Linked DNA regions of Lepisosteus oculatus. The protein of the gene in region 3 purifies or fractionates together with the protein of the main gene of each other region. This does not show direct contact. Links are inferred from orthologs where the notes say so. Each region holds a gene or a part of one and is shown on either strand. Other genes may lie near its edges. The genes, in order: rho guanine nucleotide exchange factor 26, dlg1a and lin7c.

Region 1 (3,746 bases), on a different chromosome or scaffold from region 3:
ATGAGATGTTCTCAAGATTGTGCTTCAGGTCATGGCAGGGATGAAGACAGCGTGAAACTGGAAACTAGCAGAAAGCCCCAGATCTCCCTGCTTAGGAGTGAGCACCTGAGCTCAGGAACTTCCAATCCCACATGCCAGTGAAAAGATCAGACGGCTCTGCTTACCTTCACTGTCGAAAGTTCCCTGTGTTGGCAGCCCCTTCTTCTTTTGGGAACATGGAAAAAGATCAATAGGATGGGTTTATTGTAAGGCATGTCGTGGATTTCAGTATAACTTTTCATTTTATCCTTAGGTTTTCACTGGTTCATTGGGCTTACTGCATAAATGCTATTTTGTCAGTTAGCCGAACAGACCAATTTTCCTACTATCATTTGGTCACAGAAGTGTACTCGAACTTTAAATCAACTACCAGTGCCAGTTTGCACCCAGTTCCAAAGGAAATTTAAACCTCATATGTAAATTCATATGTACAACGAATGCTAATAAGGATAAATATGCTTCTCTTTATTTTCTTAAAGAAGACGTGGTCTAAAACAGCCCTCTGACACCACTCGGGATTCCATGAACAACACGGTGGACCTACTTTTCCCTTTCCCAGCGTGGAGAATCTCTCCTTGTCTTCCTCCACGGCTCTCAGGTTGGGCTGCGACAGGTGGTTGGCCCTCAGCGGACTGGCGGGGGCCCCGGCGTCCGCGTCGATGCCGCTGACCACTGCACGCCTGTAGGAGGTGGACCTCAGCCCCCGCCTGAGGGTGCCGGGGCTCTCGAGGTCCGGGTCGCCCCCCCCGTCCGCGTCTCCCACGCCGAAGAGGGCCCCCGAGCCCATCTCCACCAGGCTGAGGGCCCGCAGCGCCCGCTTGGTGGGCTCCAGCAGGCTGTGGCTGTGGCCCTTGGCCAGCTTGACCTCCGACGCCAGCCCCTTGGGGATAAGCTGCTGCGTCCCCATCTTGAGAGCCGCGGGGCTGTGGGTGCTCAGGACTACGGCAGGAGACGTGGGAGAGTCCTGGGCAGCTCCGGAGGACGCCCTGTGGAGCACCTGCCTCTCCCCGGGAGGAGACACAGGGGAGCGGTCCCCCTCTTTCTCAGGAGACCCGGGCGGGCAGCAAGACGGGGCTGCGAGGCTGGCGCTGGGGCTGGGGCTGGCGCTGGGCGCGGCGGTGTCCTTCCTGACCGGCGGGGGGCCCGGGCTCGAACTGAAGACGATCTGGTCCCTCTGTGACGTCAGCGTCACGGGGCTGGACAGCCGCTTCTGGGGTGCCTTTGTTTTCTGGCAGGAGGGGCTCTTCTCCTGACAGCCGGGCCGGGCCCCCCCGCTCTCGGCGGCGCCCGCAGCTCCAGGGGCCCAGCTCCCCGCCCGCCTGTCCACCTCCGCCTTGCGTTTGGGCAGCGCAAGCTTGCCATTGGACAGGTGGCCGATGCTGATGCTCCTGACCACTCGCGCCTTGCGGGTGGGTCTGTTCAGCACGTGTTTCAAGACCACCGCGCCTCCTGGAGACGGGATGTTTTCTGCCGGCTGCGTCAGGGTAAAGGAACACGGGTCCTCCACTGGGAAATCCGTCATCAGGACCCCGTCGATCTGGTAGCTCAGAGGCCTGGGCTTGGCTTTGCCGTGGTCCCTTGAACCATTCTGGCTTGCAGATCTCCTCTTCCACAGAGGGGCGATATTATTGTTGGATAAGTCCACCTCGTTCCCCGCTTCCATGGCGCGTTATTCCCGGGAGAGGACAGTGAGTCTCAGGGAATCGCATAAGGAAAGGCGCTCACATTACAACTCCTCCGATACGTGCTGCAGCGCCTGGCAGAAATGATTTTGGAAAAAAAATGATTAAACACTACTTGCGCCGCCCTTTCTGTTTCATCACTGATCTTTGCAGAACTTCACATCGGATCGTGCACTAAGGCGACTAGAAAAAAAATACATACATAAGGCTAGAAAAACCAAAGTGTTGATCAAACAGACGTTTAACGCGCGATGGGTAGCAAAAGGAAACGAGATAACTTAAGTTCCAATTATTTTCTAGAACTGCGAAAGCAGTTCCTTAGCGGAGTAGAGGTTAATCATTAAAAAGACAAGAAATCCAGCTGCATGTACAGTACTTACCTTGCTGTTTGTTTTGCTGCGCAATCGCGTCATTTTGTTCACTGCTCTGTCCCGAACTACTGTACGCGTCCAATCCCACTTTCCGATCTTTGCGTGATCCGGACCTTGTCTGATTTAGCTTTGCAAATCCTGGATGCAGTGCGCGATTTCACAAATACCGGGTGACGAGCAGCCCCTTTCTGCTAGATTCACCGGCTTTGCTCCTCGCTCCCTCTTGAACCCTACGCACTACTGGGAGAGCAATGAGAAAATGAGACCGCAAGAAAACGAGGAGGAGGAGGAGACGCGGTATCCAACCAAGTTCAAGCACCGCAGTGTACAGTACACGGAGACCAGCGAACTCAACGACATGAAGTGCAATTAAACAGCCCACACCAGAACTAATCACAACAGATAACGTCTACGTCCAGAGTTACAGCCCAGCGTCACGCCAGCGAAGTCTAAAGCACAGTGGAACAAAAGTTGAAGTTTTCCAAGTGTCCGTGTTTCAGAACAAGTTCTAGGCGTCAAGCGTCACCTAACGGCCGTACTAGACATCACACAGAAAGTACTGTAAACCTGCAGACTCTTTTAGTCTCCAGACTCTTAAATTCACAAATCGTCACAACAAAAGCGGTTTTCTTCGGGGGGTTTTCTTATAAGAAAAAAAAAGCAATCATTTCTGGGAACTTATACGCCATGGTATAAAGAGGTTTAATTGTTCCATTTTAGGTATTTCTACACAAAAAGCTTATCAGACACGAGAACTTGATCGCCTGTGCGACCATGCGAGGCAACATTTGTGTCACAACTACAGGAGGTAACGTAGCGTAATTCTGTGGCCGTCTTAAATTCGGACAACATGCTTTTAAAAGGGGGGGCAGTTCTCGAGAAAGGTAATTAAAGCAATTTAACATAAGTTTAAATAATAATCAAAGCAAAAACAACGAATCATAGCTCTCGCGGTTGTCAAAACAAATAGACCTAATAATAAAAATGCTAATAATGGCATTTCAGAAGTGATTGACGAACGAACCACACAAAAACTTTTTTTTGTCTACCGCAGACACTGATTCCCACACAGACCCCTTTATTTACCCCCGAGTCAGTCTGACTTCTTTAATTCAATTGTTTTCCCCAGGTTTTATGTTATATAAGGGCATTACCTATTGCGTTCCTCGCCTAAAACGACGTATTAAGGCCAACTCCTGAGTGTATTATGGGCTTTAGAAAAAATGGCAGCCTTTAACAGGCCGGGTTAAATGAGACCCAACAGCGCCAATTGCAGCGTTACAAACCTGCCGGAGTTCAGCTCAGGAACGCACAGCTGGTTCAACAGATGTTCACGTTTTAAAACTTGCAACCTGACGCTTTGGTAGAATACACCAATAGGCGCTGATGAGATTTTAAGGATTGTATGTTATAAGTTATAAGCTGTTTCAATTTGAGTGTACTGATGATTAATACTATATGATATCTGACAAGCCCTGTCATCGATTTCTTGGTTTTGTTCCTGTTGGACTGTAAATGAACACTCCGCATATTTTGAATTGGCACAATGCTCCGCTATCTTCAAATAGTGCAAACAGCATTCAGTTCAGTTTTGTACTACTGTACTAGTAGTAACATGTACTACTAACAATGATACATCTATTTAACAGAAGCA
Region 2 (3,746 bases), on a different chromosome or scaffold from region 3:
GATAGAGAATTAAATTCCTAACTAAATCCTTACATGACTTAAGAAAGCTGGCGAGGGCCAGTCTGAATACAGCTGAATATCTGACACCAATATTTAATTCTGTGAGCGTGGCAAAGGTTCCCTGACTGACCCAAAGAGGTGGATGAAGGCAGAACGGGAGAACACTTGTCCTTGGCCAACAGAGGCGTGACTTCACACAGCCACGAGAAATCTGCCGGGCTCTAGAAACCGCCCTGTTTTTCACTGGCTGTGTGGCAGAGAGGAAAGGAGGGCTCCTGCTGGTTAAGAACCTTGGGCCAGGAGCCCCTTCTGGTTGCTCTGTCCGTCGCTGGGAGCGTGCGTCTCCGAGGCGCGTGCAATTACAGCTGCAGGAAACGGACCGAAAGGAGTGGCGGGAGCATCAGGAAGGAAACTTAACGGCACCGTGTGAAGGCCTGCAGGACTGACTCCATCCTAGAGGAATGCCGGAACGCTGAAATATCCGAGCGGGAATCCACTGGAATCCGCTCCTGGGTTAAAACCACAGAGCCAGGCGCTGGCAGCAAACGGCACCGAGCTGGGGACAGTCACGCACGACAGTCACACAGGCTGTTCCCTACAGGCCTTCTCGGTTTAGTCTGCAGAAGTTTCTTACATTTACGACACAAAGAAAACTAGGGTGCTATGGCCTTAACCCTCAGAGCATCTACTCCAAATGTGTTCTTAAGACTACAAATGCTTAAAGCCATCTTAAGAACTTGACACGTTCTGCTGCTCATCTTGGTTTTTGGCTCCACCACCGATTTTAATTCTACTCCACAACTTGCTAGTTGAAGAAAAGAGAAGTTCCAGTATTCCCGATAGTATTTCTAGGGAACTCGGGGGCGCGATGCAGTGGAGCTGTAGGAGTGATTCACAACCACGTCCCCTCCTGCTGCCTGGGAAGTTACACCTGAGCAACACCTGGCCGCGTTGGAGGACCAGCAACAGGCTGCCCGGGGTGCAGCACACCTGCAGCCTGCAACACGGCGACCTGTCCCATCTTACGCAGGACTCACTGCTTTTAATACTGTACTGCCAGGGCAAAAAAAATAAACAAAATTCCCACGGAGCTGAGCACAGCATTGCAAACAGCAAGCCGTGCAACACCACACAAAATGACACCAAATTTTGGGAATGAACAGAGAGCAGAGGTCCCAGCCTGCAGGATCACAACAGCCCCAAGAGGGAGTCGAGTCAGCAGTCAGCTCCAACCGAAGCCTCTGTTTGCGAATCTACCGGCCGGACTCTCGCATGCAGGCCACCGTCACCGTGTTTCTGGGACCCGGGGCGCAACAGAAAGGGAAGAGGGGAGCTCATTCAGAGGAACAGAGGCGCTGGCACGGCCGTACCTATGAGGGCCTGGAAGAGGTTGCTCTGAAAGATGGTGATGACCCTCTCGATGGAGTGGCGGAGCTGGCGGTCCTCGGTCTGGCTCAGCTTCTCCCGGTACTGCTCCAGCAGCTGCAGCGCTCGCTGTGCATCTGCGCGGACACCACACTTTCCGTTAGCTCGCCGGACAACGTACGCACACAAACACACACACGGGCTGCCCCTCTAACAGGTTAAAAAAAAAAGACAACAGCCCATCGCAGCGATTTCACTTTTTCAGTCCCCCCCAGTTGCTGCCGAAACCCTCTGCAGCCCCCCAGAAGCAACCCGTGCACTCGCCTGCCCAACTCGACCCGCACAGAGATCCTGGAGCAAGTTTCAGTAAAGCAAGTTTTGTGGTGTGTGTGTGTGCGGTTTAGTTTTACATTAACACGGGCTTCTCAGCTTCCACACGCACACTGCTCTGCCCCCATGCAAACTCCATTACTCGAGAGACAGGACGCGGGGGTGTGGGGTACCTACACCCCCAGAGGGATGCGAGGCTCACCTTTCTTCCTGACTGGCATGTTCAGTTCCGGCGCTGCGGAGCGGAGCCCAGCGAAAACCCAGGAATTAAAATCTCCCAAGAAAAGCAATCCTCCGGTGCAGCCGAGCGCCCTTCCCAGGAGCAGAGTTTATCCGGGCTCGCATGAAGCCCCGGTGAGCCCTGCGCACCTCGCGTCTCGGGTTTCTGAAGAGCTCCGCGCCGGACCCGGACACGGACACGGGTGGGGGTCCCCTCGTTCAGCGCCCGGAACGGCAAACTCTGGGCAGCGGGCGAGCTGCAGGGGAGGCACACGGGAGCGTGCAATCCTGGGTCGGGGAGTTTCCTGAAACTTTGGCACCACGCGAAAAGAAGGAGAAGGGGGGGAAATCCAGCCCCCCCTGCGCAGTCGGGTCAGCCAGCCAGGAGCGGAGTTAGGCGGTGCGTACCTCCCCCAGCCCAGCACTCGCGTCCGCGGACACTCGGGGGGTTAACGCTGGGGCGGAGGACCTGCAACTCCCCTCTCCACACCCCGGCCACAAATCACACCCAAGCCCCGCTGTCTGACAGAAGCAAAGTTGAATCCGATCCTTCGCGCCGTCTCCCACTCATCCACCCCCTTCCGCCGGGTTGCTCGGCGTTTTTCTTGGGGAGTACTTGTCTGAACTCGCTCCCCCGCCTCGATCCGGCAAATCCGTTGTCAGCTCCAATACTACTACTACTACTACTTCTTCTTCTTCTTCTCTCTCTCAAACCGAACTTCTCCCCGTCTTGTTCTCTCTCTCTCTTCCTCCCCACCCTCTTTTAGTATCTCTCTCTCTCTCTCCCCCCCTTCTGTGCCCGAAATTCCAAACTTTCCTCCAAAATGGCGGCCGGCGGCTGGAAACACCGTCACGTGACCGCCCTCCCTACCCCCGCCCGGCCAATCAGGAGTGAGAGCCGGCACGGGGCTACCTTGGCACGCGGCGGGGGGGAGTAGGAGGGGAAAGGTGAGACTCGAGAGTTTCTTAAAGGCGCGACGCGAGGATGCCCTGCAGCAGACACCTGTCCGCAGCTGAGCCCCGAACAGATAGACGCGTCAAGAGCACACAGCACAAAGCGCCGCAACCCAGAACGCGGAAAGAGACGTGCACGTTATCTGGGAGGAAAAACAAAATTCCAGATCGCAAGAGCTTTTTTTTCCCCCTTTTCTGTGCGTGCTGCGTGCTTCTGTCACTTCATCTCCGTCTGTTCACCCCGGGATGGAGGCGGAGGAAATGAGTTCCTTCTGTCTCGGCCAACCCAGCCCGCCTTGAGCGCCCTGGAATGAGGGAGGGGGTGAGATTTGCGCGACGCGATCGCGAACCGGGGTTTCTCTTGAGATTAACCTACTTCTTTCGCCCTCCCGACTACAACTCCCCCCCCCCCCCGCCGCACAGAGCAACAAGGTTGTAATCTCCGTGTTTAATGAGTTCGCGGAGAGCAGCTTCCGATAATCTGCAAGGAGGAGGGCGGGCATACGCGCGCCCAGGTGAGGCCGGGCGATCGCAGGCGCCTTCGGGTGGACCTGTGCGAGGAGCGGCCAGGGCTCCGGGGGTGAATTCGGAGTGTATCTCGCTCCTCGTCGTGCGAGATCTCCCAGGTGTGCCCAGGTGTGCTGTCAGCGTGCCGAAGGAACCGGCTGCCGAGACGCTGGTTCACCTGAGTCGGTGCAGCCGGGGAGCCTCAGAGGCGGCCGCGCTTGATGCGTGCACCCCCTCCCGCTCTGGAGACCCCAGCACTGACTTTAGAGTAATTACTTCTGGGGCCCGATGTGACAAGACACATGCCCGAGCCCGGGTGAAGGTCTCCCCAATGAGAGAATCAGCCACGTTCAGCGCACTGGCCAGCTGCT
Region 3 (3,746 bases):
CATAATCTTTTGCCAAACGCTGCACTGCCACTCTGAGACCGAATAATAAAACACACCGTTTTTTTTATCAAAGCCAACAAGGCAGTTGCTTGGGACGGAGATATCCCTCCCTACAACCGAAACCTGGGTGCCAGCATGGGCCCATCCTCAGTTTGACACAGCGGCTAAGGGGCTCCAGACCCTCGATCTCCTTACCTCTCTCACAGCGTTGCAGAACTCGCTCTGCAGCACCCTCTGCAGGGCCTGCAGCTTCTGGGGCGGCACCTCTCCGGTCCGCTGCAGTTTATCCAGGAGCTCGATGGCCCGGGAGATGTCTGAGGAGCCGAAGGCCGAAGGGAGAAACAGGTCAGGACAACGGCATCACACGAGCACGTGCCTCTGTCTGCGCAGAACGTCCCTGTGGAGCAACAGGAACTTGCACGGGACCAGCCTCTGCATGCAGGCAGTAGATGTGTTGACGCTTTTTTTTTTTCCCAGGCTAAATGTTTTTACTGTACACTGTAGTACTTCTGTGCCGTGGCGACTGGGTTAGTTTTTACGCCTCAGTTGGGGGGGAGGTTGGCATAATTTGAGAAAAATGGTTTCCGCATAAACTAACAGACATGTAGTGTCGTCCCCCACGACGCAAATTATTTTTTAGAGATATAAACCAGACGTTATTTTATTTTAATTCTAAAAAAATACTGAAATATTGGGTGTTGGCACGCCTAGCAGGGTACTGCGCACACTGGAGAGGCTACTGAGCCAAAACAACACAGTAGTTTAGGCTGCGTGAAACACACTTGAAAAGGAAGCAGCCTTTCAGAAAGAAGTTAGTTTTAAAGGAAGGTGAGACTGATGTTGGCTCACGGGGGACCACTGCATGAGAACTGCATGCCAGTTTCAGTCTCACAAAGGTCAATCTCAGCAGGTACCTGTGACACCGCCACTTTCCTATGTCACACATGAGTCGAAACCACCAATCACACGGGCTCAGTGCGGCCCTTCCAGATCGGACAGTCCAACCCCAGTCCACCCACGGGTCACAGACCCCGTCTCTCGTGGGGGTGTTCCCAAACACTCTCTTCACTAGTCCCAGTTCCACACCGGGTGTGCGCAGATATGCAAAATTTATATTTCAGTATTTTCTTTAGAATTACATTAAAACGACATCTGTTTTATATATATAAATAATATCCATCATGTGGCACCTCTGCATTGTCTGTTTGTTACGCTCAGCAGGTGTGAGCCTGGCCAGTACCTGGATGAATGACCTCCTGGAAAAGCTGAGGTTGCTGCTGGAAGAGGTGTTAGTGGGGCCAGTAGGGGGCGCTCACCCTGCGGTCTGTGTGGGTCCTAATGCCCCAGTATAGTGACGGGGACATTGTAGTGTAGAAAGCCGCCATCTGTCGGATGAGATGTAAAACCGAGGTCCTGACTCTCTGTGGTCATTAAAAATCCCAGGGTGTTTTTTGAAAAGAGTAGGGGTGTCACCCCAGCCAAATTTCCCCCTGACCTTTACCAGTCATGGCCTCCTAATAACCCCCATCTCTGAACTGGCTTCAACACTCTGCTCTCCTCCCCACTGAGAGCTGGTGTGTGTGAGGGGACTGGAGCATCATCCAGGTGGGGCTGCACACTGGTGGGGTGGAGGGGATCCTCATTACCTGTAAAGAGCTTTAAGTGGAGTGTCCAGAAAAGCGCTATATAAGTATAAGGAATTATTATTATTATTATTATTATTATTATTATTATTAAACAGTTCCGAATTTCTCAAATTTTGCCACCCTCCCCCTAACTCTTCTGTACTAAGTAAGCCAGTCGATCAGCAGCTGCAGAACTACAATATACAGTAAAGACAGTTAGCCACGAGCAAGAAACTCCCCCAGATGATGCTCGTTAGTCCGAGGGCAGAAGAGAAAAACAGGGGCAACGCGAAATGACGTCAATAATGTATACAGCGCATTCGCACGGCCCCTGAAGCTCAGCGCCAGCAGCGAACACAACAACACGACATCACACGGCGAGATAATCCCCCTCCGACCAGGCGCAACGACAAAGAGTCGAGCAGTGGGGGACTACACGGGGAAACAGAAGTGACACTTTCACTTACTACAACCGTCCAAAGCTAAAATAAAACATTGTTTCGAGCGTGCTCTAGGTTTGCCTATACAGGAGGCTGCAACACCACCTCTCTCTCTCACACACACACAGCTCTGCGGTTTTGGTGTTCCAGGCAGTCAGTGCGCTACAGTGTTTCGTTTGTATTACAAACAACAACAACAACAACAACACAAAGGAACAGGCGCGTACAGTCTGGCACACCGGACGTCAAATTCGATTGTATTTGCACACAACGCAACGGAACTTGTTCAAAGGAGGGGAGAAGCAACGCTCTGAACCAGAAAACAGATCCATCCAGATGGCATGTCACCGAAAGGTGTTTACATGCGTTTATTTTGGGATCTCAGCCCCCTGTGAGAGATCCGAGCCTCCCTGCGTGGTGTCTGTGGTTCATGCGAACGCACCGTACTGCCATGAAGCCGCTGTTAACCCCAGACACACTTTTTAAATCTAAAGCACACGCTCGCATTATTATCACGGGTGCAACTGGCCAGCAGACGTTTCTATCTCGAACGACAGCCAAAAGCCCCCTGCTTGATCTAACCAAATGCAGCAACAATGTTACAGCGGGAAACAAGTGTATCCGCAGAATGTTAATAAAAAATAAACAACACAGTTGCCCGGGCTATACATCCCTTTTTTTGTTTTCGCTGTTTGTAATGTTTTTTTTTACCTCTCTCCAGCCTGACAGGTTCCCCAATCGCAGCCATTTTGTGCCTGAAGTCCGTCAAGCCAGTAGTACTCCAGCGAGTGCCCAATCCCGGCACAGCCTTGGTTTATGTGACACAGCCTCATTCAAACGGCAACATGACTTCCTGGTATTGGCACGGCACTCCCCGGAAGGTTTAGTTTCAGACGCCTTACAGGCTGGAAGGGGCTGACAAAGAACTAGCAGAGAGCAAACTTCTCAGACATCGTTGTTGAAAGTTTACAAACTCGAGAAGGTCACTCTGCCCATCTAACCCTTTTCTTTGTAGTCAGTCCAGGTATCTCATCCAGCTGATGTTTCGGCTTCAATAACAAGGCGAGGTAGCTCGTTGCACACTCCCACCACTCTTTGTGTAAAGAAGTGTCTCCTGTTTTCGCCTTTAAATATACTTCCACATAGTTTCCACGCTTGTCTTCTGGTTTGTGTCCCAGTGTTAATTCCGAAGAAGTGATTTAGTTGATTATGTCAATGTCGTTGATGGTTCTGAAAACATCTGTCAGGTCTCTTTGTAATCTTTTCTTTTAGGAACTGAAATAACTCCTTCAGCCTGTCAGTGTGGGACACTCCCTTCAGACTAATCAGACTCCGTTCCTTTAACCTGTCAGTGTGGGACATTCCCTTCAGAATAATGAGACTCAGTTCCTCCAGCCTGTCAGTGTGGGACACTCCCTTCAGACTAAAGAGACTCAGTTCCTTCAGCCTGTCAGTAAATAGAGTAAATAGTTTTTCATTGCTGTTTCAACAGTGTTTACTTATCCTACTAACCAATCCTACTAGCCTTGTGTCGTCTGCAAACCCGTCTAGTTAGTTATTTACTATACCAGAATCTAGATCTCTGAAGATCTACTACAGATCCCTGTGGTACTCCACTAATTACATCACCTCTACATGACTATTCACCGTTTATCTGTACCCTCAATAATCAATTCTCAAT

Evidence for each region.
Region 1: the proteins of lin7c (region 3) and rho guanine nucleotide exchange factor 26 purify together in Homo sapiens (affinity purification with mass spectrometry; 3 studies listed by BioGRID and IntAct, counting the BioPlex papers as one, with this or other methods). This does not show direct contact. The link is inferred for Lepisosteus oculatus from reciprocal best matches to the Homo sapiens genes LIN7C and ARHGEF26.
Region 2: the proteins of lin7c (region 3) and dlg1a purify together in Homo sapiens (affinity purification with mass spectrometry; 4 studies listed by BioGRID and IntAct, counting the BioPlex papers as one, with this or other methods). This does not show direct contact. The link is inferred for Lepisosteus oculatus from reciprocal best matches to the Homo sapiens genes LIN7C and DLG1.

What each region holds. Positions count from the first base shown.
Region 1 is NC_090708.1:3,087,872-3,091,617, reverse strand, and holds the start of rho guanine nucleotide exchange factor 26, read right to left. Parts: upstream 2,557-3,746; 5' UTR 2,102-2,556; intron 1,796-2,101; 5' UTR 1,703-1,795; coding exon 584-1,702; intron 205-583; coding exon 165-204; intron 1-164. UniProt on the Homo sapiens protein: Activates RhoG GTPase by promoting the exchange of GDP by GTP. Required for the formation of membrane ruffles during macropinocytosis. Required for the formation of cup-like structures during trans-endothelial migration of leukocytes.
Region 2 is NC_090708.1:2,036,706-2,040,451, reverse strand, and holds the start of dlg1a (disks large homolog 1), read right to left. Parts: upstream 2,689-3,746; 5' UTR 1,917-2,688; coding exon 1,898-1,916; intron 1,503-1,897; coding exon 1,371-1,502; intron 1-1,370. UniProt on the Homo sapiens protein: Essential multidomain scaffolding protein required for normal development. Recruits channels, receptors and signaling molecules to discrete plasma membrane domains in polarized cells.
Region 3 is NC_090716.1:3,117,799-3,121,544, forward strand, and holds the start of lin7c (protein lin-7 homolog C), read right to left. Parts: upstream 2,879-3,746; 5' UTR 2,814-2,878; coding exon 2,777-2,813; intron 315-2,776; coding exon 196-314; intron 1-195. UniProt on the Homo sapiens protein: Plays a role in establishing and maintaining the asymmetric distribution of channels and receptors at the plasma membrane of polarized cells.